Arabidopsis thaliana: one gene and its partner. The protein of the gene in region 2 purifies or fractionates together with the protein of the main gene of each other region. This does not show direct contact. Each region holds a gene or a part of one and is shown on either strand. Other genes may lie near its edges. The genes, in order: NRPB2 and PRL1.

What was found.
Region 1: the proteins of PRL1 (region 2) and NRPB2 purify together in Arabidopsis thaliana (affinity purification with western blotting; one study listed by BioGRID). This does not show direct contact.

Annotation. Positions count from the first base shown.
Region 1 is NC_003075.7:11,530,570-11,544,059, reverse strand, and holds NRPB2 (DNA-directed RNA polymerase family protein), read left to right. Parts: upstream 1-1,654; 5' UTR 1,655-1,859; coding exon 1,860-2,108; intron 2,109-2,884; coding exon 2,885-3,106; intron 3,107-3,208; coding exon 3,209-3,499; intron 3,500-3,609; coding exon 3,610-3,807; intron 3,808-3,898; coding exon 3,899-3,963; intron 3,964-4,066; coding exon 4,067-4,153; intron 4,154-4,230; coding exon 4,231-4,351; intron 4,352-4,446; coding exon 4,447-4,491; intron 4,492-4,583; coding exon 4,584-4,721; intron 4,722-4,854; coding exon 4,855-4,927; intron 4,928-5,092; coding exon 5,093-5,169; intron 5,170-5,247; coding exon 5,248-5,355; intron 5,356-5,441; coding exon 5,442-5,558; intron 5,559-5,650; coding exon 5,651-5,806; intron 5,807-5,887; coding exon 5,888-5,992; intron 5,993-6,075; coding exon 6,076-6,201; intron 6,202-6,294; coding exon 6,295-6,372; intron 6,373-6,465; coding exon 6,466-6,561; intron 6,562-6,650; coding exon 6,651-6,766; intron 6,767-6,841; and 13 more. Other genes in the region: AT4G21720 (defensin-like protein), read right to left, coding at 30-68, 161-264, 474-527, 1,424-1,499; AT4G21705 (Tetratricopeptide repeat (TPR)-like superfamily protein), read left to right, coding at 9,243-9,476, 9,559-10,803; AT4G21700 (DUF2921 family protein, putative (DUF2921)), read right to left, coding at 11,216-13,490. UniProt on the Arabidopsis thaliana protein: DNA-dependent RNA polymerase catalyzes the transcription of DNA into RNA using the four ribonucleoside triphosphates as substrates. Second largest component of RNA polymerase II which synthesizes mRNA precursors and many functional non-coding RNAs.
Region 2 is NC_003075.7:9,017,295-9,033,883, reverse strand, and holds PRL1 (pleiotropic regulatory locus 1), read right to left. Parts: upstream 10,219-16,589; 5' UTR 10,110-10,218; coding exon 9,976-10,109; intron 9,882-9,975; coding exon 9,857-9,881; intron 9,619-9,856; coding exon 9,513-9,618; intron 9,399-9,512; coding exon 9,305-9,398; intron 9,201-9,304; coding exon 9,135-9,200; intron 8,942-9,134; coding exon 8,857-8,941; intron 8,740-8,856; coding exon 8,647-8,739; intron 8,433-8,646; coding exon 8,369-8,432; intron 8,257-8,368; coding exon 8,171-8,256; intron 8,101-8,170; coding exon 7,999-8,100; intron 7,897-7,998; coding exon 7,813-7,896; intron 7,711-7,812; coding exon 7,650-7,710; intron 7,521-7,649; coding exon 7,454-7,520; intron 7,333-7,453; coding exon 7,255-7,332; intron 7,136-7,254; coding exon 7,071-7,135; intron 6,957-7,070; coding exon 6,879-6,956; intron 6,614-6,878; coding exon 6,441-6,613; 3' UTR 6,076-6,440; downstream 1-6,075. Other genes in the region: SWEET17 (Nodulin MtN3 family protein), read left to right, coding at 541-574, 676-712, 823-1,033, 1,392-1,556, 2,312-2,431, 2,984-3,142; DI21 (drought-induced 21), read right to left, coding at 4,615-4,846, 5,145-5,227; AT4G15890 (binding protein), read right to left, coding at 11,139-11,810, 11,887-12,061, 12,160-12,292, 12,416-12,530, 12,620-12,707, 12,786-12,877, 13,039-13,530, 13,779-13,960 and 2 more. UniProt on the Arabidopsis thaliana protein: Pleiotropic regulator of glucose, stress and hormone responses. Also regulates cytochrome P450 CYP90A1/CPD.

The DNA of each region.
Region 1 (13,490 bases), 2.5 Mb from region 2:
ATTATTGAGGTTGAAGCAAGGAAACAAACCTTGTAACCACAGCCTGCTACACATGCGTGAAAGCATTCCTGAATTTAAAAACAGAGTTACATGTACAACAATTAGATACGGTTCAGTCCATTTCTCTTTTTTGAAGAAAAAGATTCATTGTGTGAATTACCTCAGAGTATTTGGCATCTCCAGGAGAACGATCTATAACAGCAGTCCATGGTCTGTCTTTTAGCACAGGATCTTTGTAGCAAATTTCACTGCAGTCTCCTACACCTATAGAGAGTACACTACTATTACACCAATTCATTAACTTGGAAACTTAAACCTGAAAAGCAGAAGATACTCTTCATGAACATGTAATTTCGTTATGTAGGAGACAAGCTTGGTTTTTATGATGTTCCATAGTGAGGACAAATCTAACCGCTCATCATTTCATCAACAGTTTCGTTACAGATTACAAAGAATTAAAAAGAAATGCTTACAATCTTCCCATGAGTCACTATCGGCATCACATCCCTTTTTGCAGAATACTCTCCCTACACAGATTCAGGAATTACATTAGTGCTATGGAAAAAATGTCATACAACAACATGGAGGATAAACACTGATGCTAAAGCTGAAAAAAAACCCAGATTGCTATGGAAAAAATGTCATACCAAGCATAAGTTCAGCTAGCTTTTGTGCCCATGAATGAAATTCAGAGATCAGAGAATGAAAAGCTTTCATCAGAAAGACAGAAACAGCCAAACCAAGCCCTTTAACTAGCTTAAGCATACATATATGTCAATAGTTCATAGAAGCAACATGGATACAGAAGCATCTTTGATACCGTTACTTTGACTCTCTCCCTTTAAATTTCTTTCAGTTCATAAACTACAACTTATTATCTTCCACTTTCTCCTACTAATTTAACCATTTTCTTAATTACATGATAGAAAAGCTCTAAGAACTCTGCATAATCTCCCTTACTTGTAATCAATATAAATGTTGCCGATTCTTCAATCTACATTATTCAATTACGAGTCAAGATGGATGTTCTTAAATACTTGCAACTACAACTATAAGTTGTCTCTGGACCAATCTAACCAAAGAAGCGATTCTTGACCAAAATGTTTAGTATAATCGTAATGAAGTAGAGTGCACCAACAAATAATTAGGGTTTATGAATCAAGAAATCAATCAACAATCCAATTTACAGATCCCAATTTCAATTCCAAACAACAACAAAAAGAAGAAACACTCGGAAGACTAAATTGACTTTTGAATCAAGAAATCAATCACCAATCCAAATCAGAACCCAATCTATCAGCTCCAACAACAGATTCTTATCATCATCATCGAAAACTAAACCATCAAAAAACAACGGACCACGAACATCAAAACTCAAAAACGAATCCGATTCACACAAATTAAGAGTCCAGATATTACATACATGGAAGCTGCGTAAATGCTGAGTACTTATTCGTGCATTTGCTCCCACACGGCGGCGTCCATTGCTGCGGTATCATCTCTCTCTCCCTTCCTCCGCCTTCACTCTCCGTCTCTCTCTCTCTTCTTCCGAAAATATCGCTGACGCCACAAAAATGTAGCCGGAGACTTTTCTTTATATAGTAAGGGTGTTTCCGTCATTTAACAATCCAAGCTCTCTAACAACCAAACCGATCCTTTTTATAATCCCATTTAATCAAACCGGTTATTGATACAAACCGGTTATTTCCATAAACTTAAGCCGACTTCTCTCTCTCGAGCCTTTATAAACTCACAATCTCACAAAGCCGTCTCATTCTCTGCGTCCTGTCTCTCTCTTTGTCTCCGAGAGCTCGAGTAGTGAAGTTTGCTGTGCTCTAATCTTCAGAGAGTGAGAATAAATGGAGTACAACGAATACGAACCTGAACCTCAATATGTAGAAGACGATGACGATGAGGAGATTACCCAGGAGGACGCGTGGGCTGTTATATCTGCTTATTTCGAAGAGAAAGGTCTCGTTCGTCAACAGCTGGATTCGTTTGATGAGTTTATTCAAAATACTATGCAAGAAATCGTTGATGAGTCTGCTGATATCGAGATCCGACCTGAATCTCAGCATAATCCTGGCCATCAGTCCGATTTTGCGGAGGTTGTTTCCTCGTTTTTGTTTTTTTCTAGGGTTTCTATGGGAATTCGAAATTATGTGCGGGTTTATCGTGTTTGTGGCGGTTTTAAAGTGTTTCGATTTGAGCTTCTACCGTTTGGGTGCGATTAGGGTTTACCTGAATCTTATTGATGTCCCGAGATTGTCTTGTTATTCAATGCTTGAGCTATATGCTGTTCAAGAGTCAAAAAATGATTTTGACTATTGATGTCCGGATATTGACTTTGAGCTGGTAATCTTATTAATGTCCCGAGATTATCTTTGAGTTAATGCTTGAGCTCATCTCTTTCGAGGAGGATTTATAGTATTGGTTGAAACTCAAATCAGTTTTGGCACTATAAAAATGAGTTTGGTATCTTTTTTTGCTGTCCCTTTGGTCTGTTTTCCTGCAGACAGTCTATTGTTAGCCCTTATCTGAGAAGCTTATCTCAATGATTTCCCATGATTATCTTTGTATTCGATGCTTGAGCTCTTCGCTTTTTTGAGGTGTATTTTCAGTGGTTTTGAATATTGGTTAAAGCTTAAATCAGTTTTTAAGTTTTGTTGCAATTAGGGTCTGCCTTTGTCGAGTAGCTAAGCTCATTGATTTTCCGAGATTATCTTTCCATTTAATGCTTGAGCTCTTCGCTTTTTTCAAAGTGTCCTTTCAGTGGTCTTTATTATCGGTTGAAGCTCAAATCATTTTTGACTTTGTGTGAGCTGAGATATAGCTGTTTTGCTATCTGTTTTTCTGTATGTCTGATATAGCTGTTTTCCTGCAGACAATCTACAAGATTAGCTTTGGACAGATTTATCTGAGTAAACCTATGATGACAGAGTCTGATGGAGAGACTGCCACCCTGTTCCCTAAGGCTGCAAGGTTGAGAAATCTCACATACTCTGCGCCTTTGTATGTCGATGTTACTAAGAGAGTTATTAAGAAAGGGCATGATGGTGAAGAAGTTACGGAGACACAGGATTTTACTAAAGTTTTCATTGGAAAGGTGTCCGAACTCAGTTCATTGTGTCACATTTATTTAGGTGTTTCCATGTACTCTACTGTTCTGATAGTAGAAATGTTTTCTTCTTGTTTGATTATTTGCTAGGTTCCCATCATGCTCCGGTCTAGTTACTGTACCTTGTTTCAGAACTCGGAGAAAGACCTGACAGAGCTTGGAGAATGTCCTTATGATCAGGGTGGATACTTCATTATTAATGGCAGTGAAAAGGTTCTGATTGCTCAGGAGAAGATGAGTACGAATCATGTTTATGTGTTCAAGAAAAGGCAGCCAAATAAGTATGCTTATGTTGGTGAAGTCCGTTCTATGGCTGAAAACCAAAATAGGCCTCCAAGCACAATGTTTGTGCGTATGCTTGCTCGTGCTAGTGCAAAAGGGGTAAGAGAAAGCTAATTAGTCTTAACTCTACTATATCCTTCCTCGAAATTTATTCTTTAAATTCTAGATAATGGTAAATAAATTACATTCTATGTTGCAAATGGATGCAGGGTTCATCTGGACAGTATATTCGATGTACTCTTCCATACATCAGAACAGAAATTCCTATTATCATAGTATTTCGTGCACTGGGATTTGTTGCCGATAAGGACATATTGGAACACATCTGCTATGATTTTGCCGATACCCAGATGATGGAGTTGCTCAGGCCTTCCTTGGAAGAAGCTTTCGTTATTCAAAATCAGCTGGTATCCACTTTTTTTTCACTTGGTTAATGACATTTTATTATGCTTGAGGAATTGATCTTGCAATCACTTGATAACTTTCATATTACTTCAGGTTGCACTTGACTATATTGGAAAACGTGGTGCAACTGTTGGTGTAACCAAGGAAAAAAGGATAAAGTATGTGATAATCTAAACCAATTAAGTTGGACATTATGATCTAAGATGTCAACTATTGAGATGTTCACACTGGAGGTTTGCGATTGCAATATTATCATTGCAGGTATGCTAGAGATATCCTTCAGAAAGAAATGCTTCCTCATGTAGGAATTGGGGAGCATTGCGAGACAAAGAAAGCTTACTATTTTGGGTAGGTATTTAACTCACTTGTAATGTTTATAGACTTAACATGTTTCTGTGTTGCTCATATTATGCTATGATCCGTAGGTATATCATACACCGGCTGCTGCTTTGTGCACTTGGCCGAAGGCCAGAAGATGATAGGGATCATTATGGTAACAAAAGGCTGGATCTTGCTGGTCCTTTACTTGGAGGGCTATTTAGAATGGTTTGTTCCCGGCACACAATTATACACTCTTGGGGATTGTTGAGTATCAGTGTTTTTTTTATCTCTTACTGACCTAACATCTTCTCTACATGCAGCTTTTCCGAAAGTTAACAAGGGATGTGAGATCTTATGTTCAAAAGGTATCTTACATAGTTACTCTTTCTCGAGCCAAAGACTTTAGTATTAAGTTGTTATTCTGTGTTTGGAAGTCTGATTCATGTTTCTTTGACAGTGCGTTGACAATGGCAAAGAAGTCAATCTTCAATTTGCCATTAAGGCTAAAACAATTACCTCTGGCCTGAAATATTCTCTTGCTACTGGGAACTGGGGCCAGGCAAACGCTGCTGGCACAAGAGCTGGAGTCTCTCAGGTTAGGATAATTCTATGTTAATTATGTTTTTGAGTTCCAATAATTTCTTGATGTATGTTATCGGGTTTACTGTTTTGGCCTATTATAATTCATTGCATGATTTATATGGCTCTAAAGACTTAACTAACAACAGGTTCTTAACCGGTTGACATATGCTTCGACTTTGTCACATCTGAGGCGTCTCAATTCTCCAATAGGACGTGAAGGTAAAGCCTCGTTCTTTTCCTGCACTTCTATTTTGTCTCTGTGTAACTGTTCGTACAGTTGGTGTATTTTAGTCATGGTTCTCTTTATTATCCACATCCTTGCAATTTAGATTGGCTTGTACTTTTGTTTATCCCACTTGAATCTAATCAAGTCTGATATGCCAGGAAAATTGGCAAAACCAAGACAACTGCACAACTCACAGTGGGGAATGATGTGCCCTGCTGAAACACCTGAAGGACAGGTAAAATTGTTATATTTATAAAATAAGGGTGTTTCGGATTTTATAGTTCCATTGCTCATTGTGGCTTTGCTGTACCAGGCTTGTGGTCTAGTGAAAAACTTGGCTCTCATGGTCTACATAACAGTTGGGTCAGCTGCTTATCCTATATTGGAATTTTTGGAAGAATGGGGTACTGAGAATTTTGAGGTCTGTAGCATTTCACATTCAATTTCTTACCCAACATCTGCCTCCTTGGTTCTTGTGGTTTCCTGAAGGTCTTAACTTGAATATAGGAAATATCTCCATCTGTTATACCCCAAGCCACAAAAATCTTTGTCAATGGAATGTGGGTTGGAGTTCATAGAGATCCTGACATGTTGGTGAAAACGTTGAGACGTTTGAGACGAAGGGTAAGCATGCAGTTTCTTTCACGTTTCCATATATGCTAGTGAAAATATTGCAACTTTATGCAGAAGTGACATATTACTTTTTCCTCTTGCAGGTTGATGTCAACACTGAAGTTGGTGTAGTTAGAGATATCCGTCTTAAAGAGCTCCGGATATACACTGATTATGGACGTTGTAGCCGTCCGTTGTTTATTGTAGATAATCAGAAGCTCTTAATAAAGAAGAGAGATATCTATGCTCTGCAACAAAGGGTAAAATTCTAATTTTTACCTGTTATCAAAGTATCTTTTGTTATAAATTCCATTGTACCAATATTTGTTTTCATAACCCAGGAAAGTGCAGAAGAAGATGGTTGGCATCATCTGGTTGCTAAGGGCTTTATAGAATACATAGACACAGAAGAAGAGGAAACGACCATGATTTCCATGACTATCAGTGTGAGTAATGAAATGAAGATGTGATTAAATGAGTTTGTGGTGCACTAATTTCTGCAGAAATCTTACTCTTATGTTTGTTGTAGGATCTGGTTCAAGCTAGACTCCGCCCAGAAGAGGCTTATACTGAAAACTACACACATTGTGAGATTCACCCATCTCTGATATTGGGGGTCTGTGCTTCAATCATACCATTTCCTGACCATAATCAGGTACCTCTGTCTAAATGACTTTTCTATCAGAAGCGATTTCATTATGTAAATTCAGTTTCATGCTAACTAACCCTTTACTTTTTGATGTATTAGTCACCTCGTAATACATATCAATCTGCCATGGGGAAGCAAGCAATGGGAATTTATGTCACCAACTACCAATTTCGCATGGTATGTTCTAGGCTCTTAATTTGTGGTCTTTCTTGTCAGCTCTTGTTACATCACTCAATATTTTAAAGAAATTATTATTGTTCTGTCAACCAGGATACGTTAGCTTATGTTCTCTATTATCCACAAAAGCCTTTGGTTACTACAAGAGCTATGGAGCATCTTCACTTTAGACAACTTCCAGCAGGAATTGTAAGTTATTTTTGCTAGAAGTTTTTCAGAATTCAGCATTGCTCGTGTATCAAATCTCTCAAATGTTTTTTTTTCTTCTTCTTGTGCAGAATGCTATTGTTGCCATTTCTTGCTATTCTGGATATAATCAAGAAGATTCTGTCATCATGAATCAGTCTTCAATAGATCGTGGTTTCTTTCGATCCTTGTTCTTTCGGTCTTACAGGTGAGTATGCTATACTTTTGGACGTTTGCCTTCGGTCTTTCCATTTATTTATACTGCAATCACGTTTGCTGACAGAGATGAGGAGAAAAAAATGGGGACGCTTGTCAAAGAAGACTTTGGGCGCCCAGACAGAGGAAGTACAATGGTAAGAAAGTAATTGACACATGGTTCATACTTCAGTGGTGCTTTTTGTAAGTGAAGTTTAACACTTGGGTTTCTGCTGCAGGGTATGCGACATGGTTCTTATGATAAACTGGATGATGATGGTCTTGCGCCTCCTGTAAGTTTATAATTTATTGTTCCTTAATTATTTATTATCTGATATGATTAGGTGACTAATGTTAGAAAGCATATCATACAATCTTTTATTTTTGGTATAGGGTACTAGAGTTTCAGGTGAAGATGTTATCATTGGGAAAACCACTCCAATATCTCAAGATGAGGCTCAAGGACAATCATCCCGATACACTAGACGTGATCATAGTATAAGCTTGCGACATAGTGAAACTGGAATGGTGGATCAGGTAACTTTGGCTTTTCCTTGCAGTTAAGGGTTTAGAAAGTTTCAGGATTGAAATATGAAACTGATCAATTCTTGTAACTTCGTGTAGGTGTTATTGACTACAAATGCAGATGGTTTGAGGTTTGTGAAAGTGAGGGTCAGATCCGTGCGGATTCCTCAAATTGGAGACAAATTTAGTAGTAGACACGGTCAGAAGGGAACTGTTGGCATGACCTACACGCAGGAGGATATGCCATGGACGATTGAAGGGGTCACTCCGGACATTATTGTGAATCCACATGCTATTCCGTCTCGAATGACAATTGGACAGCTAATTGAGTGCATCATGGGAAAAGTGGCAGCTCACATGGGAAAAGAAGGAGATGCTACTCCCTTTACAGATGTCACGGTAACTTGCATTTTCCTTAGCTGCTTAGTTAGCATTGGGCTTGGTATTATTAGTTTTGACCAATGTTGTGTCGTTAGGTGGATAATATAAGCAAAGCCCTTCATAAGTGTGGGTACCAAATGCGTGGATTTGAGAGAATGTACAATGGTCACACGGGCAGACCACTCACAGCTATGATATTCCTTGGACCAACATATTACCAAAGATTGAAGCATATGGTTGATGACAAGATTCACTCGCGTGGACGAGGTCCGGTGCAAATCTTAACAAGACAACCAGCTGAAGGGCGATCACGTGATGGTGGTCTCCGTTTTGGAGAAATGGAGCGCGATTGCATGATTGCACATGGTGCTGCTCACTTTTTGAAAGAGAGGCTGTTTGATCAGAGTGATGCGTATAGGGTACATGTGTGTGAAGTCTGCGGGCTCATTGCCATTGCAAATCTGAAGAAGAATTCTTTTGAATGCAGAGGTTGCAAGAACAAAACAGATATTGTTCAGGTAAACATAAACTGTTGTGCAAGTGGTTCATATTCATCTTTATCTCTTTCATGCTCATTTGTCTGATGTCATTTCATCTAAATATTCTCAGGTATACATTCCATATGCTTGCAAATTACTCTTTCAAGAGCTTATGTCAATGGCTATTGCACCAAGGATGCTCACTAAACACCTGAAATCGGCTAAAGGCAGACAGTGAGGAGCTTGCAATCTGATTTTGTAGAAACTTGAACTTTCCTTCTCTCTTGGTCATAGCTTTGTAACAATACTAAATTTACAAATTTGTGTAATATTTCTGTACTAATTCTTAAAGCTAGAAAGGTACCTTATAAGATATATTTATGGATTCTTTAGTAAATTTGCTGCTCCTAATTATTCTCATGGGGCATCCGTATGGGGATTCACTTTGTTTCCTTCTGCTTTCATCATCATTGTGCCTTATCGATGAGCTCAACATTGCGAAATCCATTCAATAGCTGTTTCAAACATTAATGATATCTTTTCTATGGTTTTCTCTATTCCTTCAATATTAGTAGCTGCAGCATATGCACTGAGACGAATACTAAGAGTAAATTGGTCAAAAGAGACTCCATTCTTCTCCATTTCAAGCATCAGATCATCTAATTTTCCATGCACATTCATCTGATTATACATATTCATCATACGATTGTAACAACGTGTGTCCATGGAAACACACGCTTCCTTCATGGCTTCCACAAGCTTCTCAGCTTACGATATTAGCAGCTAAGAAGACTAGAAAAGACCGCAATAATCTTTGGGAATGTTATCAAAGAAAACCTCTGCTTCTCCAAGTCCACAGACTCTTGATATCAAGTTTATGCGTGTACCAAAAGCTTGATAAAACATAGTTTTTTTTTTTTTTTTTCCTCAAAACATAGCTTTTATTTGAGAGTTAAAATGTTCAATAGAAAGATTCAGGTGTAAATTAGATAATAATAAAAGTTTTGAGGCTTAATATGCAATTATCATAAACTTTCAACCTTTATTTGTATTTTTTCATTTTTGTAAAGTCTCAATCTTTGACTATCTTCTTCGCCGGAACCGATGAATATACTGAGACGAATTCCGGCGAATTTGATTGCGAGCAGATATTACTACACTAACAGAGTAAAAAAGACGACACTTTACTCAAAAATCAGTCCTTTAGGAGACCCAAAATCAAGTGTTTACCCAGAACTCCAAAACTGGGTTCAATGCGGTAAAAAAGTCTCTGTTGCTGAACTTATTCGCATCGTTCACGATCTTCGTAGACGCAAACGCTTCCTCCACGCTCTCGAGGTAAGTAATTCTATACAAATCAAGTCTCTTTCCCTCTTTACACCGAGAAAAAAAACTAAACTTTAGAATTTTTCAAATTCAGGTTTCGAAATGGATGAATGAGACTGGTGTATGTGTGTTCTCTCCGACAGAACACGCGGTTCATCTTGATCTTATTGGTAGAGTTTATGGATTTGTCACTGCAGAAGAGTATTTTGAGAATCTTAAGGAACAGTATAAGAATGATAAGACTTATGGAGCTCTTTTGAATTGTTACGTTAGGCAACAGAATGTTGAGAAGTCTCTGTTGCATTTTGAGAAGATGAAGGAGATGGGTTTTGTTACTTCGTCTCTTACTTACAATAACATTATGTGTCTTTACACGAATATTGGTCAGCACGAGAAAGTTCCTAAGGTTTTGGAGGAGATGAAGGAAGAGAATGTTGCTCCGGATAACTATAGTTATAGGATATGTATTAATGCTTTTGGTGCTATGTATGATCTTGAGAGGATTGGTGGGACCTTGAGAGATATGGAGAGACGACAGGATATTACTATGGATTGGAACACTTATGCGGTTGCGGCTAAGTTTTATATTGATGGTGGTGATTGTGATAGAGCGGTTGAGCTTTTGAAGATGTCGGAGAATAGATTGGAGAAGAAAGATGGTGAAGGTTACAATCATCTCATTACGCTTTATGCTAGGTTAGGGAAGAAGATAGAGGTTTTAAGGTTATGGGATTTGGAGAAAGATGTGTGTAAAAGGAGAATAAATCAGGACTATCTTACTGTGTTGCAGTCGCTTGTGAAGATTGATGCTTTAGTTGAGGCTGAGGAAGTACTTACGGAATGGAAATCATCGGGGAACTGTTATGATTTTCGAGTGCCTAACACTGTGATTCGTGGTTACATTGGAAAAAGTATGGAGGAGAAGGCAGAAGCGATGCTTGAAGATTTAGCAAGAAGAGGGAAAGCTACTACACCAGAATCTTGGGAACTTGTGGCTACTGCTTATGCGGAAAAGGGTACTTTAGAAAATGCTTTCAAGTGTATGAAAACTGCCTTAGGTGTAGAAGTGGGTAGCAGAAAATGGAGACCTGGATTGACGCTGGTTACAAGTGTTTTGAGTTGGGTCGGGGATGAAGGAAGTTTGAAAGAAGTAGAAAGCTTTGTTGCATCTCTTAGGAATTGTATCGGTGTGAACAAACAGATGTATCATGCTCTTGTCAAGGCTGATATAAGAGAAGGCGGACGTAACATTGATACTCTGTTGCAGCGTATGAAAGATGACAAAATTGAAATCGATGAAGAAACCACAGTGATTCTCAGCACAAGAAGTCCATGCTAAAAGTTTCTTATTCTTCCTTGACGTGATGATACCAAAGATGTCTTCTGAGACAAGGATTTAGGAATGTGATTTCTTAACGGTTGAGTCTTCCTTCAGCAATACTTATTAGTACCAAATGTACCAAAATTTTATTTTGTTAAGAACACTCTCTAGACTCTGTTTTCATAGCATCTATAGAACAGTCTACAAGAGAATCCTCTGTTCTTTTTTCAAATGCAGTGTACTATCATATTGAATCAGCAGAAGGCAAAGTTAGAGCTTTGGCAATTTGGTTCCATTTTTATTGAAGTTTATATTCACTCTATAACAATTTGCTTTCCCACAAAACTGTAGATATTACACAACCTAAAACAGTTAAGAACAAGATAAATGAATTGTATGACAACAAAACTGTGTGTCTATATATGTATTGTCAAGAGTCATTGGTATTGTGTTGCTCACCAGCTTGTTGAAGCTCTACAACTTTCTCATATCCCACATATTCTCTGAATCTCTTTGGAATGAAACAACGACCACCGAATCTCTGCTGCAAGAAAATCAGAAACGCAAAGAGGAAACCGATGCAGAGGATAATAATATCCCATGCCGTAGAGTAATAATCCATTTTGTGGTTTGCATAAATGAATGACCAATCAAGAATCTTCCCGTAGCTGTGACTTCTATACAGATCATAAGCATGAGGAAGCAATCGAACAAAGCTGTTTCCAACGTAAAACAAAGCAGCAAGAGGCTTCAAGTCCGAGTTGCTGAAACCGTTGAAGAGTATTTGAGGAAGGAGGAATGCGTCAAGCATCAAACCTCCATAAGATTTTAGATCTTTCCACAAAGGAGGACGTTGAAATGAGCGTTTCAGGTTCACTGGACGGTATAAGAGATTCCGAGCTTGCGGTTTTCCTATGTATACTATTCTTTTAGGAGTTCTATTACGGTTCACTAACCAAGCAATCAATCCACCGGTGATGTAGAGAGGTAAACACACATAAGAAACCTTCTTCTCTGCTTTCCACACATCTTCACGGTGATGATGGTCTCCGGTTTTTCTAGCAGTCCAAGCTAGTTGGAGAAGACGGCACTCGAGTAAGAAAGCTATCAGTGTCACTATCCGCACCACAATTTCCTTGGCTTCGAGCCATCTGTCGTTCTCAAAGAACAAGTTTCGCTGGTTATGGCTGCCTTTAAAGAGTTCTTCAAAGTTTAACAGCAGAGGAATCATGTGACCTAATGTAATAAGTATCAGCATTGCAACGGAGATGAAAGGAAGTGCTTCCTGGTGTTGCTTCATATGGTAGAGTTGCATACCCAAGAAGAGACATGAAAGTGTATTGGAAACTAAAACCATAGCAACCTCCAAATCCATTCTCCAAACAGATTCTTTCGCTTGATGAACATAGATGGACCTCGACAAAACCTCCATACGTCCAACATAAAGCGGATCTGTCTTTTCCCGTGTGCTTTTGATGGTTCCCTTTAAACGGTCATCGCTTCTCGAATCAATTGGAGAAAAGTTAATCTTGATTGCAAGACTGCAATCCACAGTCTCGTTTTGTATAGCCACTGTGTTTTTTAGCCTAACTGATTGACATCCTACCATGCATAGCTCACCTGTATCCCTATCATATGTTCCCTCAGCGTAGATATCTCCACGAGATTCGGAATTTGGATTCAAAGAACGGATTCTATAAGTGATATTTGTAAAGCTTTTAGTGACACTGTTGACATTCATAGGGATTCCAGTTAGCCCAACCCCTTGCCCACGAACCAAAAGATCCCGATACAAACGGTCTCCCACAAAGTAAGGACTTGCACGGGCAGTTCTCAAGACATTACCTTCTCCAGAATATTTGACTGACATGACAAATCTCATGTCTGAAGTTTGAGCATCAGGGTAATGGTTTCCTTTCCTTTTGGGGCGACTCTTGCCAGCCCCGCATAACTTACCCACTCTCTCGCTTTCTGTATACTCATATCTCAGACTCGGGAAACGCCACAGTTGATCGTTTAGGCTCGAGAACTCAATTCTTCTGAAATAGCTTGGATCACTCTCTGCTTGGGCACTCCAAAGCTCCCCAACTACTGGAGCCATGCTTTTAATCGACAAGATAGCAGGAAATCTCAAACTTAACCTCAGGGAACAATCATCAACCACAGCATTACTCAAAGAATCCGAGAAATTCAAGATCCTGCACGCAACACCACAGAACCTATTCCTCTCTACATCCCAACTTCCCTCTGCAACCAAACTGGTTCTCGGATCAAATGGAAACAAACTACTATAACCGCTCATGTTACTAAATGACAAAAGCATTCGCATCTTCTCCCCATCACACAGAAACGATAACATCGACATAAAACCCGGTGTGTACTCTACATCACTTCCAAAAGGACTACAACTATGGTCAACCCCACAATCATTTCTATACATCAAACCAAACACATGACTTCTACCTTCAAATACTTTACACATTCCTCCCAAAACATTCTCTAACGACAAACTCTCTCCACCATTTACCCCACAATCCAACTTCGATTGCTCTAACAACTTATACTCATAGTTCAAAGGAGTGTTTCTTGCACCAAGAATCAAAACCGTTTTAAATTCACTTAGGCTATCCACGCTCTCTAACACTCCCTTAACCAAACTTCCATAGATATTAGACTCCTTGGAATAGTTAAGCATAAGACGAGCA
Region 2 (16,589 bases):
TATGGTGCAACTAATTGCATGAAATTTATTTTCTCATATTGATTGCCAAAATTAGTCTCAAATCTGGATATTATAGACCAAAATCAACTAGTATGTAGCTTATACTAGTTTATATAAATAAAAATGATGGGTAAAAAGAAGTAGAAAATTATATTTTTATATTCCACTAAAAGGGTACAATTTGCTACAGAGTGAGGTAAATCTATATTCCAGTAAACTTTTTTCATAACATGAAAAACAATCTCCAGTTTAGAAAGATAAGAAAAGTCCATTATCTATTTCACTTCATTCCTCTATTATACTTTAACCAAATCATTAATTTTGTTTTCTTGTCATTCATTCATCCGATACTATCCATTCACACCAATAGACACACACTTGCATACTTGAATCATTATAGTGTGAACAAATAAAATAAAAACATTATTAAGACTTCAAGTCACGTTTCCCCCAATTAAGAAGCCTCCTCCTCTTTCCTTTCTCTCTTTGTCTCTCTGTCTCTTTCTCTTTCTCTCTCTCTCAGAAACTCTTTCTCCAATAATGGCAGAGGCAAGTTTCTATATCGGAGTCATAGGTAATACTTCTTCTCTAACGTGTACGTTGTGCTCATAATCTGTACATGTATAAACACAAGTGCACGATCCAATACATAACATATATATGTGTTTGACGCAGGAAATGTAATCTCCGTACTAGTTTTCCTCTCACCAGTGTAAGCTCTCTAACCTTGCAAGAAGTAACAAAATTGTATAATCTATAGTCTTTCTTACTTAGATTATTAATCGATCGGTCCATATTAATATACCAAACAAAAATCATCAGGGAGACGTTTTGGAAAATAGTGAAGCGGAGATCAACGGAGGAGTACAAAAGCTTGCCGTACATTTGCACGTTGTTAGGATCATCGCTATGGACATATTACGGCATCGTCACTCCCGGAGAATATCTTGTCTCCACCGTTAATGGCTTTGGTGCTCTTGTTGAAACCATCTACGTTTCACTTTTTCTCTTTTATGCCCCTCGACATCTCAAGGTTTTTAATTTATTCTATTTTATGATATTCTGATTTATATATATGCTATTATGCATGATCTTTAGTGTTTCCTATATGATAGCTGGTTACAAAATCTGCATTTTATTTGATTCATTTTTATTCAGATTTGGATCTGATTATCAGATTTCTATGTCTCACTTTTAATTGATTCTTTTTTGTTCTCCCTAAAGTCAAGTCGATTAAAATATTTGATCCACTTGTTATAAGAAATACGATGATGACTTGTAAAGTAGAGTTTCCAATGTATTTCTACATTTTACAAAGTAGTTGTTGGTTCAAATAATTGAGCTTTGTATATATGTTAACAACAATGTGATCTTTTTTTTTGTTCTTACAGCTGAAAACAGTGGATGTGGAAGCGATGTTGAACGTGTTTTTTCCAATCGCGGCGATTGTGGCAACGAGAAGTGCGTTTGAAGATGAGAAGATGCGTTCTCAATCAATAGGTTTCATATCTGCTGGTCTAAACATTATAATGTATGGTTCTCCACTTTCAGCAATGGTAAGTTTCATTCTTAATTTTACCTCATCTGTCAAAACTCAAAAACATTATTTTATAGCGTTTTGGTAGTATCATATCACACACGTTTTGCAATAAAAGATGTCATTGTTCATATCCACTTGGTCCTTTCTAGAAATGATTTTTTTTTATACTCCAAACAAAAAGCTTATAGCCGTCTATAATAAAAAAAAACGACCCACCTGGTCTGAAAATTCAATTTTTGTAGACAAACAAATTGATTTTAATTTAATTAACTTTATATTTTAAGCAGCAATTTTTGTCTTTTTCTTAGTGGAATTCGAATATCGTTTTTATAGTATATTTTTTTTTCTGTTTTCAGAAATAAGGTCAGTGGTTATTTTTGGTGGTAGTTGTTCATTTAGTTTTATAAAGGTTATTTTCGTTCATATATACATGCAATCATCATATATAAACCAACAACCACATGGCATTTTTAAGCACGTCTTCAAAAAAATCGCAGTCACATATCAATTATATGAACTTGTACGTCATTAGATTTTTTTCACATCTAAAATATGAAAATCAACGTCCCAATTGTTTATTTATTTTCCAGCTACTATACTGTACCACGACTTGGTATGGTAGGTCCATATCTTGGATAAAGACATATATACGTAACATTTCATTTTCAATCATTCGCAACAAAATAAATAGAATACGTTTTGAGTTTATCACAATATCTGTTATAATATATAGACTGATCATAGTGTCTAATTTCTTAATACAATATGCAGAAAACAGTAGTGACAACAAAGAGCGTGAAATACATGCCGTTTTGGTTGTCGTTTTTCCTCTTCTTAAACGGCGCGATTTGGGCTGTCTATGCTTTACTCCAACACGACGTTTTCTTACTCGTAAGTATAGTTTCACTGTTTTATTCACTTCTTAATTTATGATTACACCCTTATACTCATGCCGTCTCTGTGTCCCGTTAGTGTTTTGGCTTTAGACACATTCAAAAGACAAAAAGGAAAACTTAACAAAGCTATTTCATCGACCCCATATCTTTTTCGATATTCCAGCAATACCCCCAAAATATTTTTGTTGTTTTCTTTACATCCCCAATTAGACCCCATTAGTGTCAGGTCATGTCACAGTTTATAAAAAATCTTCTGGAAAAGAAAAAATCGATTTAATGCTCAATGATTTTTTAAAAATTGTGGACTCCAAGTCTCCAACATTAACCAAAATGTTTTTTTTTTTGGCCATTTTTTTCAAACAATTAATTTTTTAAAGAACGTGTCTGGTTCAAAAATGCAACAACTACTATTTTGTGGGGACATTTTCAAATGCGTTTTATTGTGATTTCGGATAGGCGTTGATTATAATTATGTTGTTGAGAAATAATGTATTTGTGATTGATTGATTAATTTAGTTAATTAAAGTTATGTGGTGAAATTGGATAGGTGCCAAATGGAGTGGGGTTTGTGTTTGGGACAATGCAACTCATACTTTATGGAATTTACAGAAATGCCAAACCGGTTGGTTTAAGCAACGGTTTAAGTGAGATTGCTCAAGATGAAGAGGAAGGCCTCACATCACGTGTTGAACCTCTCCTCTCTTAAATCCCTTTTTTTTTATGTCAAGAGCTTGTTAATTAATTTGGGTCTTATAAATACAAATCTTTATATTTTTTGTTACATTATTGTGGTGTGCGATTTTGTGTACGTTATTTTTTTGGACAAAATTAGATTAATTTGAAGATGTTACATATTTTAGGGATTGTTATTGTAATGCATCTTTTGTTAAGCGAAGATAAGAGAATGGAGTGTTTACTATGTTTTGAGGCTTAGTAACTTTTTTGTTTGGATAAGTTTTGAGATTCTTGACGGTTGAGTTTGTGAGATATTATTCGTAAAAAAACGTCTTGTGTCGTTGTGTACGTTCGATTGCAAGTGAGCGTATACAGTCATACAGACGTACGTACGGTTCGGTATTTGTGGAGCAAACATATTTCAGTTTTACTCGTCTCTCGGACTTTGACATTTCCCTTTAGCGTTCGGATCGTGATATTCATTTCAGACACAACAACATGGTCATAATGACTAGCTCAGGGATATGTCCTCCTCAATACTTGTTGATGCTCAATTTCATATATGAAAACGAGAGTGACAACATGTTTGATATTTGTTGGGGGAAGAAATGTGAGTGACAACACGTTTAGACTGACAAATGTTGAGAAATAATACATGTTCAAAAAAAAATATTTTCTAAGAAAAAATTGAACAGAGACAAAACTCTTCCGATAACAAACACATCAGTAAACCTAAAACGAAAAAGTACTGAAAAGTTTTAAAATAGCACCACTAGCTAAGACCAAAGGAGGAAAAGCAGCCAAAACGTTGATCTCAGTATCTCATTATAGCATAGAATCGATGTTATCATTTTAAGTTTAGTGGACAAAGTGATAATATTTAGTTATGATATATACTAAGATCTTGAACCCTTCACAGTTTCACTGATTCATAATCTATTGTGGCAACCAAGTATTGATGATTGATCCTTACGTATTCACTCGACTAGCCCAGAAGTGGGCCGAATTACAGCATATTCTCAACCCTCAATAGTCCGTTTGCATTTTCTAAGACTATTAGGCCATTAGCAGCCTCAACAAAACTATGGGCATGAAGAATCAACAAAATTTTATATGGGGTATGAAAAAGCACCATCATTTTCTATTGTTGTATTTGATGTTGACAACAACAACAAGTATAAGATTGTGGTCACAAAATATAATGCCATAGTGAAATCATCTTGTTTTGTTGTTGTTGACGTTGTTAAGTATCATAATTTAGTCATAATTAGCAACGTTTTCTATTTTTCGTATATCCCCATTTATCTCTTAAAACATTTAAGACACTGTTATACTAAAGATGTTGTGTTAGTCGATCCAAACAGATATTATATTTTTAACTAGTTAATGTGATCTTTATTTTTACTTAATAGTTGATACAAGACAAACATAAACACACATAATCAGAATAGTCGCCTACGACAACCTTCCACTGGAACCAAGTCAACCAACCAATCAAAATTCTCAGAAAGACTTTGCTTTGTTTTTCAAAAGCAACTCTCTGAGCTCAGCTGGATCAATCTCAGCCGCACGATTGGAAGGTCTGTAGTATCCAGTAACTGGATCTGGTCCCCAAGCAGACTCTGCCTCTTGATCTAAACCTCTCTGTTCCATCTTCCCCACCATAACTCTGGTGGAACCTCCCTTACTCAATCCTGCTGCTGTTACATTCTGCGATGTAGCAACGTAACTCCTCCTACATTCCAATAATTTATTTTGAAGGTAAGATTATATAAACAGCAAATGACTAAATAACATAACGAAAACGTAGAAAATAACGTGATAATATCATGCATAATTATCTTTAATAGATCTAAGTAAATTAATTACGTTTATTAATGATAGATCAATCTTTAGCCTTCACTCAAATTCAAACCATCAACTATTATTCAATTAGAATTATAAATTCTTTATACGATCTAAGCAAATGAAAGAGTGTGTAAATGTTTATATATTGTAACCTGAAAAAATGGGATCAGTTCAAACATAAGTACCTTAAGACAATGGAACAAGACAGACTTCCGGATGCGGCGGAGCAAAGAGATTTAACGGCACCGGAGAGTGAACGAGCGGCCATTTTTATGATATTTAGATATCAAATAAGTATCAATGATAAAGATATGACGATAGAGCTTAGCGTTTTAGCTACCGCAAAATGATTGTTATATTCTTCCCAAGGCAAGTATCAAGCCTAAGAAGAACACAATCCTTTTTGCAGTAGCCGCCGGTACTAAGCCGCCGTCAGATTCCCCGGTGATGGTTTTTCGAGAGACTTTAGGGTTTGGGTTAGGCGCACTTATATAGACCACGACAGAGAAATTTGGGCTCATGGGCCTTACTGTGGACCCACTGCTCATACTTACTGCCAAAGTAAGGTTAAAAACTGAAATGTGAAAATAGTAAATGGCTAATTCATTTTTTTGGGGGGTTTTATTTATGTTTTTGCCTGTTTTCGAGAAACCCACAAGTGACTAGTGAGAAAGCTATGATAGTTTGATGCTTTGATAGTTTGATGATTGAATTGAAAGAAATAGAAGACGTAAAAACCAATGTACGTCTTCCACTAAACGATACTGGCAGTTAAAAAGGTGAAAAGTCTACAAAAGATCTGCGAATAAACAAGTATACTTTGGTACAAAAGATCAGAAGAGGTCGGTGAGATCTGAATGATGATAACTAGAACGTGTCACTTACGTATTGCAAAACCAACACACAGGTGTCTTCGCGCAAACGAGCTCACCATCACCGTCTCTTTTTAGTGGATCTTTTCCATTCAAATTGTTTACTATTTCAATATTTTCTTTTGTTTTTACACTTGGTTTCTTCGTATCAGCTGTTTTGTTTTTACACTTGGTTTCTTCGTATCAGCTGTGTAGTTACACTATAAAAGCTTCATAAACCAAACAACCCGAGCCAAAATTTAGGCTGAAAACTTTCAGTGGTGGAGACTAGAGATATAAGTTGTTGATCAAATACTTAGATTCGTCCTACAAAACTTCACAGATTTGGTTGCACAGAAATCATGATAGATCTTCGATAAGTACTAACGAAGAGAATCAAGAGACGGGAGATAAAAGTAACAAAGTTCTCTCAACATAAACAACAATACATGATCTATTATTGTTGATAGAAAAAATTACAAATGCCCTTAAAATACATAAAGTACATGGCCTTTTGTTTCCTCCCCACCACAAAACAAAGGTCCCCTCTCAAAAGTTGATCTAGGAAACAGAATCATGAAGAGATTAGTGAGATTCCAACAAGAGCTTTGAGTTACAGATACAAGTTATTTAGAAGCGCCTAATCTCCTTTGGTGGTTTGAAATTGATAGGATGAGTTTCTGGAGTTGCATTCTCATCTTCTTTCCACATCTTTATCGTCTTATCAGCCTCGCATGTTACCAATCTTGAACCTGTATTATCATAACACGCTGCATATATACCCGCTTCACTCTCCAGGGAACCTGCCATATGCCCAACCACATCCAATTAAAGACCCATTTACTATTTGCTTGTAAGACGACGCTATAGGCATTTACATAAACCATAAACCTACGTCAACTTTCTTGGTTTCCCTAGAGCTCAATCATAGTATCATACACTTCTAACATTTGAGTCTTTACCAGGGTTCAAACTTGACTACGTTGTATGAACATACCGAGACTTCTACATCTTACCATAACAAGGAGATCAGGAGCAAAAGACCATGAAAGCTATAAATGTACGTACCAGGCTGTACGATAGTTTCTGACTGTTGGAAACTGTGACCACTCTTCCAGTCCCAGAACCATATACTTCCATTATCACCTTCATTCACACATATATAGAATCAGTTTCAGTTGAAAATGATTATGTCTCACCCATTTTACTATCAAAGGAAAACAATCACAGGGACGAAAGGAATCAGAAATGATTATATACCTCCAGTGACCATCACACCATCCTCGTTTACAGCCATTGCATTAATTATGGTTTTCTGTTGCGAACTTTTCCATGGAAAAAGATAAACATTGTTCAAACACATCAATTACATAATTAATAATGACAGCTCCTATTTCAAAAGCACTGGAGATGCAAAGTATATAATTATCTAGCAGAGACTTACAGCATGTTGTGGCAGAACTCTCCCTTTGGAAGGCTAAATTTCTTGGTGTTGTCAGCTGATGCAGAAGCAAAGGCATTCCTAAAAAGAAAATTAAAGAGATAACATAAAGGAAAAGTTTAGGTGCAAAGACTTCGCTATTGGAAAGATAAAGTAGATTCAGCACGATACACAAAAGTAGATTCAGTACGACTACACATACTCTTTAGGATGGAGGGTCATTGCTCGGACAGATTTCTTATGATGTGTTAGCGTTGACATTGTTTTTCCTGCATATAATAATAATACAGCATTATTCAAATGAAACCATATATTTGCAGCAACTGATAATCAAATAAGGAAGGATTTAAATAATATGGATTTTAAGTCCAAACAATGGTTACAATGATAAGATATACCATATCGAAGGTCCCAAAATTTAATGGTCGTGTCATGGGATCCGGTGACAACTTGTGGGTCCTGCAACAACACAGATCAAAGTGAGTTCCAGTTACTATTATAAAAAGATTCAGCAAGAAATCCAAAAACCATAACAACAAGTCCATATTAAAAGAGACTTACTGTTGGACGAGTAAATACAGAACAAACGGTGTTGTCATGTCCTGAGAGTGCAAAAATTTGCATCTTGGTACGAATATCCCACACCTGCAAATAAGTAAACATGGACTTTTAAACTACAAATCCAGCAAAGTGCAAGAATTCAAACGAGAAGATATATAAATATGGATATAAATATTTTTGCCTTACCCTGCAGACAGAGTCTCGCCCCCCAGTTAATAAAACATCCAAAGTTGGGTGCAGAGCTAAGCAATAGACACCACTCAAGTGACCATGATAAGATCGGATAACCTATCAAATCAAAAATTCCAAGAGCATTAGATATGAGAAATCCAGATAATGAAGAGAATAGAGTTGTAACCTTATTCTGCTCAAGGTCCCAGCATTTGACTTGCTTGTCATCACCAGCAGAGAACATATAGGTATGTCGATTGCTTACAGCGAGGCCTGTAACAAAATTCAAAACAAAAGAGCCCAAACTTGTAACTTGTCCCGAGAGTGTTATTTATTGAAAAGTCTAACAAATATTAATAAACGAGAACAGATTTGAAAGGCTAACCTCGTACTTGCTCGATATGCCCAGTAAGTGTTAGCTTCAGAACTCCAGTTGCTACATCCCATATCTAGTGAATAAAACACAAGTAATAAATTCAGTAAACATACCAAAGTCGGAACTGCTTCTACAATCGCCAAAGTAGTGGATTTTTGGCAATGCACTAAACTAAGCTCCAGTAACTAGCCATAGAAGGGAAGTCTTGTATCATGACTTATAAGTATAACAAGAAAACATATTCGAAAAAATACAATTCATATTGAATAAGCAATCATCTCTGCTACCTTGATGGTACGATCAGCTGAACCAGTACAAAACCATTCATTACTCGGGTCAAACGCAACAGATCTGACCCAACCCAAGTGCCCCTGAATGACCTGTGAAAAGAATAATTAATCGTAAGTTAAGTAACTCCTCAAACCAGAGTTTTTTGGAGACCAACAAAAGACCAAAATCCGTATGATGCAGCAACAATGCTGAGCCACGGATTTTACCCTGTAATTCTTCCATGGTGCATGCCACTCTGGCCGGGGCCATCTACTTGGTATTCTCTCCATTAATGCAGCAGTTGACAGATTTCTGTAACACGCAAAGGAACGCAACAACAAAAAAGGAATCAGAATTAGAAGCTACATTATAAGGACAAACCAAAAAAATTCAGATTGGGGGAAGTCTAATTTGCATGCCCATGAACTACCTACACTACCTAGAGCTGCCATTAATGTATTGCAATCCAGATAAAGAAAAGCAAGTATGAGGACGAGAAAAAAACCTTTGATATGAAGATACATTTGCAGGTATAATGGTGGTGCTCTTCCCTGAGGAACCTGTATAGTTCCTTCAATTCGAGAACCGAATTCTTTTATGAGCATCCTCACGATAAAGTAGAACCATCAATTAGCATTCAGATCAACGAAACCAACAACAAAAGATAACACTTACAAGCCTTTAGGCAGTATTGGACGCAGTAAAGTTGGACCAACAACAATAGCACTCTCTGTCGCACCCTTTTGCGTACTCTTAGACCCTTCAGGAGCTGCAGAATTCATCAAGCAGATGATTTTATCCCTTCCAATACAAATAAGAATGCAAATAGCAAACAAGAAACAAGTTTTTATCTTTCACCAAGACATAGTGATATGAAAAACACCTGCGAGGGAAAGAGCATTTGAAGGTCCTGGCTGCTCATTGATGCGGTCAGGTTGACGTGGAGGTTGACTCACAACAGGTTCTACACCTCCAAACGCAACTTTCATCTGTACAAAGAAAACTTCTAAAATCAGTAACATACACAACAGAGAGAGAGAGAGAGTCTAAGTAAATCAACCATCTTTACTATTATTGGTAACAAAACCTGAAGATTTAGAACAATTATGGAAAAACCTGAATAAACCTAAAGTTCGAAGCTTTAAACCAAAATCCAATCAATAGACATTAAAAGCGAATAACTGAAATAAATTTCTAAAGACTGGTAAGAGAGACTCAATGTTTTACCTTATGGCTGAGACGAATCTGCTTGCTGCAAAAAAAAAAAAAAAAAACGAAGAAATCATAAAAACTTAGTGAAGAAAATGAAGATTCGAATCGAAAATTGGGGATCGAAGAAGACTAACGCTTCCGGGTCAGGAGGAGGGAATTGGCCATGGACGGGAGAGAAGAGTTCAAGTGATCGTTTGAGGGATTTGAGACTGAGCTTTTTCAGTGACTGTGCTTCGATGGGTTCGATCTCCGTCGTCGGAGCCGGCATCGTTCTTCTTTTAGGGTTTAGAGAGAAAGAGAAGTGAAGTGAAAAAGGGTTATATTAATAATCTCGAGTTTATTTATATCAATTTCACGATTTTGTTGCGCCGAAAAATTCTTTTAAAAGGGAAATGAACACAATTAATTTTTCTGGCTACAAATCTTCTTTTTAAGCTTTATGTTAAAAGGAAAAAATAAAGACACATATTTTCTTAATATGGTTAATGAGTAATTAGATTGATATGTATTAAGATATTGTATTTTCTTTCTCTTTATAATTACGGTTTTACCTTTTCTTAAACATACATATACCAAATGATGTATGAAAGTTTTCATGCAATATTATTGAGGTCATAAATTTTGTAACACTTTCTCAAAGACAATAGATTTATAAATTTTCAAATATTTTGCAGCATAGTTTTGATGAGAGACTCCCATGGAGTATTCAAACAAGAGATTTGCCACAAAAGTATAAATCTTCAAAAACCTTGCCCCCCACATGGAGAATGCATAAACCAAAGAAGGAAGCTCACACTATATTTTCGAATCTCTCATTTACTATCCATTTAACATGTTTCCCATAAGACATCTTCAAGAAGAAGATAAAGAGTTCAACACAAATACTTATATTTATTAAGCCAAAGAGATATGTAATCAGTCTTACATATTCGTAACATCTCTAAGCGCCATATATGTGCTAGAGATAGCTCTAATGAACTTGCAAAAGTTTTAAAGCCGTTATAGACATCAAATAGCATTTTTGAAAATATTTAATCACTTTGAGATGTTATCACTAAAATCAACACATACAACACATAAATCAATTTGAGGGCAGGGATGGATTTATCACACAAGGACAAACATGAGCAAGCAAACAAATGCGCGCACACACACACACACACCAGGTTTTAGTGTCTTATGCGGTTTATAAATACGATTTAGACTTTAATAGAGTCTCGATCTAATCTCCCAAAAAGAAAAATCGAAGTCATGCATTTACAGCAAAAGCTATTTTCTACAGTCTCATTTTTAAGTTCTAACTCTCATCATCAGACATGAAAGTTGGTCTTCTTCTCAGAGACTCCAACACATCAGCTGATGGTCGACCACTCTGGCTAACTCCACGGCTCGACCTTAGCTTCGGAACACTCATTGCGCTCAGAGGCGGCGTTGCAGCTCCACCGTTCACTTCTCTCAACACCGACCTAGCTGCCTTAGCCGCCACCACATCAGCAGCCGCAGAAACCACTCTTGATTCCAATCCCGAATCTCTAACATTCTCCTCGCTTGCTGCTGATGCTTCAGGTTCACCGTTTCTATGACTTGTCCCGCAGGCAACCCCTTGGTTAGCCATGGACCTTGCCTTTGCAGCCTCGTGCTTCTGCATATCGTAAACAAGCTCTTTCTGAAGCTGTTTGTCAGCGACAAGCATTTCTTCGATCTCGTTCTTGTAGTCTTTGAGGAGGACACGGAGGCAGTCCATGAGCGAACCTGTGAGAGGACTGTTCTTGCTCTCCAATAGCCTCTTGAGCTCAATGAAGATTGGAATCGTGTTCTGAATCAAACCTTTTCTAACAGCGTGCGTTATGGCCCTTCCTTTTGCAGTTGCTGCATCTCCACCTTCTTCCTCTATATCTGCTGTCTCCGACGATGCTCCTCTGGAAACTGATAAACGGATCTCTTTGCACGCCAAGATCTGAAACGCATCCTACACCGAGACAAAACGAGTTAAAAATCGGCAATCACAAGAAGAAAAAAGGCTCTGTAGCCATTTTGGAAGTTACCTGTAGAACTGATTGACCAGTGACATCTTCTATGTTGAGCATTCCATCAGAAGCAGCTGCGAGGATCTCTGCACATAACTTGGCGAATGTGGCCAAAAGGTGTTCTGGGGCCATTTGTTTAAGCAAAGTAACGTAGATCTGCATTCTTTTAGACCTAGCCCTTTCATCATTCCCTCTACAGAACAAATGAAACAAAGATAATCACTAAGATCATTCACACCAAAATGTCAAGTTTGCGTATGAGCATAGACTATATAACTTTAACACAAGTACCTGATAGAAAAAACTTGATCCTTTGTTCTTGATTGTTTAGAATCTGGATTACTATGGCCAGTGTGGGCATGGCAGTCGTTTAAGACATAAATAGCTTCCACGAAACTGTTGTAAGCTAGAAGTGGCGCCTTTACTATAAGCAACATGGGGCGTAACAATAATCAAAAATCCTAGAGATCATGTCTCTCTGTAAGAATTTTCAATAACATGGGAATGAAAGAATGCATTTCATGGTTGCTCACGTGAGTTCTCATACCTTTAAGGATGCTTCCAAATAAAAAGTCTGCAAGTCGACGTATCTTTTCAGATTCATCCACTAGCGATAGAAGGAATCGAAGGAAGAGAACTCCTCTCCATTTCACGTAGTCTCTCTGAATCAAGAAAACAAGCCTGCTTATTCATTGTCAATTCAATACTTTTTAAAAACAGAAGATAAAGAATCTGTGGAGAATAGCAATACCTGTAGTAACCTTGAGAGAAGTATGAAGGTTTGCCTTCTAACAACTTCACAAGGATCCCGAAGACGTTTAGTAATCTTCGGTATGTAACTATCCAGGTAAACAAACCATTAGAATGTCGCAATCATGTTTAACATTTGAAAAATTAATGTTCTGTGAATGAAATACCACTCAATCATGGCTGTATAGTGAACACAAAAGTCTGTCATCGCTACTACAAGATTGTTACGCAAGGCTGCACAATCACTCTTTTCAAGTTCCTGCAAGAGTAAGGCATCAACGGGTTCACATAGGTTAAAAAAAATTGAAGAGACAAAGGAGACTACCATCCAATGAATCAAGTTCCTGGAACGAAAAGTTTCCTTTCCAGAAATAATCAAAATGATAAAATGGACACATGAATCAGCAAATGCAGACAGACCTGTGCAAAGAGAGGGAGATATCTTTTAGCAAGCTTCCCGTCAGCCAAACACATCTTCGCCATGGTTAACCAAGACTGACTATAGAGAAGAGGAGCTTTTTGCTTCAAGCAAACATTAGCTTGCGGCAGTTTGTTTTTCAGCTTTGAGTCTGAATTTCCTGAAGTGATGACAGTATGTAAGAACGGAACAATTTTGGTCGTGTCAGCTGAAGGATATATAATGACACAAGATCCAATGGTGTATACTGCTGTGACTGCTTTTGATAATTTCTTGGACACAGTATCCAGTCTCTTGCTTCTTCTACTTCCGAGTGTTGCTGGTGTAACAAAAGAATGATTATGACTGGAAACCCCCTCGATGTACTTCTCAGTGACCTTAGATGCTTTCAATGAAACTTGTTCTACCCACTTCTTGACAAGCATATCGGCCTCCTCAGAGGTGCTTGCCTTCTTTTTGCACAAAGTTTTTAATGCTTTGACATGTGCATCGACCTGTCATTCAATGGCATTGACTAAGTTCATGAAGATAGATGAACCATATACGAAGCAACCATTTTCAAACCAGTGAATAATGATCTGCTCAATTCAAGCGTTCAAGTTTCAGGTTACAGAAAAGTACCAAAAAAATATCAAAATCTGAAAGAATACATCCTTCTAGACAAAAACCAGTAACTTTCTGTACTTTCAAAACATGAGCTTGATTTTATATAGAAGATATCAGGTTAAATATTTATCATTACCTCAGCAGAATGCAGGTTAAAATTTTCGATTTTCTTCAGCAAATTGTCAGCCAGATCTGCAGCAGGCTCTGCTGGCAGCTGAAGGGAAACATTGGAGATTGTTTGCAAAAGACAAACTCGATCGCCAGCCCATGTAGAAGAATTACACTCGACCCCCTGTTCATCACCTTGTTCATCTAGCCCTTCAGAAATAGCCAAATTATCATACATACATTCATGAAAATTGGTTTAATTAGGGTAGAAGTTAGGACTAAAACCAGAAAATCACACTACCAGTAGGAACAAGTAAAGACATGAATCAGTTGATTGAGATGTTTATAGATGGATAAACAGAATTCTGACAAACCTTGTACGTCATTCTTGTCAAGCAACTGCCAATGATGGTGAAGAAATTCCCATTCGACAGACTTTGAAAGATAAACTGAAACCTCTGATAGAAGGAACCAAGCACCAGCAGGAGCTGTCCATCTATTTATTGGCATTGAACGACTCAACCACAGTGATTCAGATTCCTTTATGATACACTGAAGCGCAAGGGCAACTCTTGGTTTTAGTCGCTTCTTCTTTCCCAAACTTCCACATATTTTCGTAACCCAAGGAGAAACCTCACTGTTGCAAAGCTCCCTTAAGAGAACCAAAACTCCTTCTGGAAACAAGGCTTCAATGTCTCTGTCTAGATCTTTTGAAGTAGTGTTCCGGTTGTTAGGGAGAGAAGCACTGTCTGGAGAAAGCACATTTCCAGCTCGTAATATTCTCTCCAGAACTAATTCATGAAAGACATTCTCGCATTCTTCTTGGATGCTAGTTTCATTGTCCATGATCATCCGAGGAACAGAATGTAACCATTCAGTGGTCACAATTTCATCTGTACATATTCTGAATGCCTACAGTGAACAGAAGACAATGAACTTGCATCATCAGAGAAATATGATAACAAGTCATTAGCCTGAGTGCCTGACCTATATTCAGGGATAAGTTAAAGTATAAAGATTATCTGATTTTAGTATGAAACCGACGGAAGCAGTTGCTATGTAATTTCCCATTCATTCATCTAAAAACATTTTTGGCTTGCACATTTGGTCTCTTTAACTTTGAGCTAATTAAGGTCAAAGCAAACCCGTATAAATTATACTAACTCTACACATATTACCATCGGGTAAATGAGAAAGAAGAAACTGAGTTACAGAAAACATACCTCGGAAATAGCTGAAACTGCAGCCTTTCTTATACTTATTAGCGGATCAGAACAAGATGTACCCATTGTCTTTAGGATACTACCATCAAAGCAACCACCCATAAGCGATGTCAATTTTGTCACCAGAAGAAGAGCTGCTCTCCTTACAGCCGCCTTCTCATCCACACATCTTTTCTTCAAAAGGTCAGTTACTGCACCTTTTCCCTCTGAAGTCTCACCGTTAAACCCAAGGGCTTGTTTCAGGATCGACCTACTCCTTTCATCACCAGACAAGAACTCCACAACTTGAGCCAAGTTGGACAAAGCTCGAGCTCTAATCAAAGCGCTCGTGTCTGAACACCGCTGAACTAAAGCATCAATACAACCCAAGCCCCACGAATCTTTCAACCCATTCTCTGAACTAATATCTCCTAGAGGGTTTCCTAATGAGCTTATCAACAGAGGTATAATATCAACAGCTAATACTCTAAAATTAGACTTCCCTTGACACATCTTCATTACAAAATCAACAAACTCTGATTGGCCCTCAACCTCCATTGCCTTTACAATCTCCAGTACCGCCTCCACTGCAAATCCACGCGGCTCGGCCTTCTCAGGTGCCTTATGAACCAGAAACTTAGGCAAATTAGACACAACTTTTTTCAATTCAGGGTTATCTTTAGCCAAACTCATCAATTTCCTTGACACAAATCCCAACGCAAAACTTCTCGCTTGATGTTTCCCCATAAGAAGCAACGGTGTCAAAGACTTTGAAATCTCAGCAGCAGTGAGTGCCATATCTCCATGGTCAGAATTCAACACTCCTCCCAGAATCTTCCCACACATTTCCATCAATCGATCATAATTCAAAACTCCAGAGTGCTCCAACGCCAATAAAGGAATCTCACTCACAGTTTGTACCAAAGATTTCAAACTATCAGGAAATCTATCTAAATGAACAAAACTCAGAACCGAGCCAAGCTTCTCTAACACTATAAACATCAATTTCGCATCAAATCCACCTTCTTCAGTCTCTTCCCCATCTTCATACCCTAAATTCCTCTTACCACGTCCTCTCTTCTTCTTATTCCCTTTCTCTCGCTGCGAATTACTCCCTTGACCGGCGGAATCATCACGGCGTTTGAGGTAGCGGCGAATTGAGCCAAGTAGAGAAAGAAACGCAATCGGAGAGAAGAAAGTGAAAACGGGGCAATTCGTGGAAAGAAGCAGACTGAGATAAGCGTCGGAGGCTAAAATAGCAAGACGGCCTGATTCAACCGGAGAATCCATGGCGGCGGAGATACAGCGGAGAAACGAAGAAGCCATTGAGGAGAGACTACCGTAGAATCGATTGAGAATTTCATCATCGTCTGTATCAAGTAGAGATTTGAGATCCGTGACGAGTTCATGATAGTCAGATTCATCGTCTCCTCCTTCGATTCCTGCAAGGATTCTAGTGAGCAGAAGCTCTTCATCCATGGCGATTCTCTACTGATAGAGAGAGAATTTTGGATTTCACAGAAATTCAGGTGAAAAGGTTTCAAATCATTTTGGATTTCCCGCGATCTGTTCGTTCTTATTAGAATTCAAAGTGGGACTTAGAAAAAGGTTTGGGGCTAATTTAGCATTTCCACAAA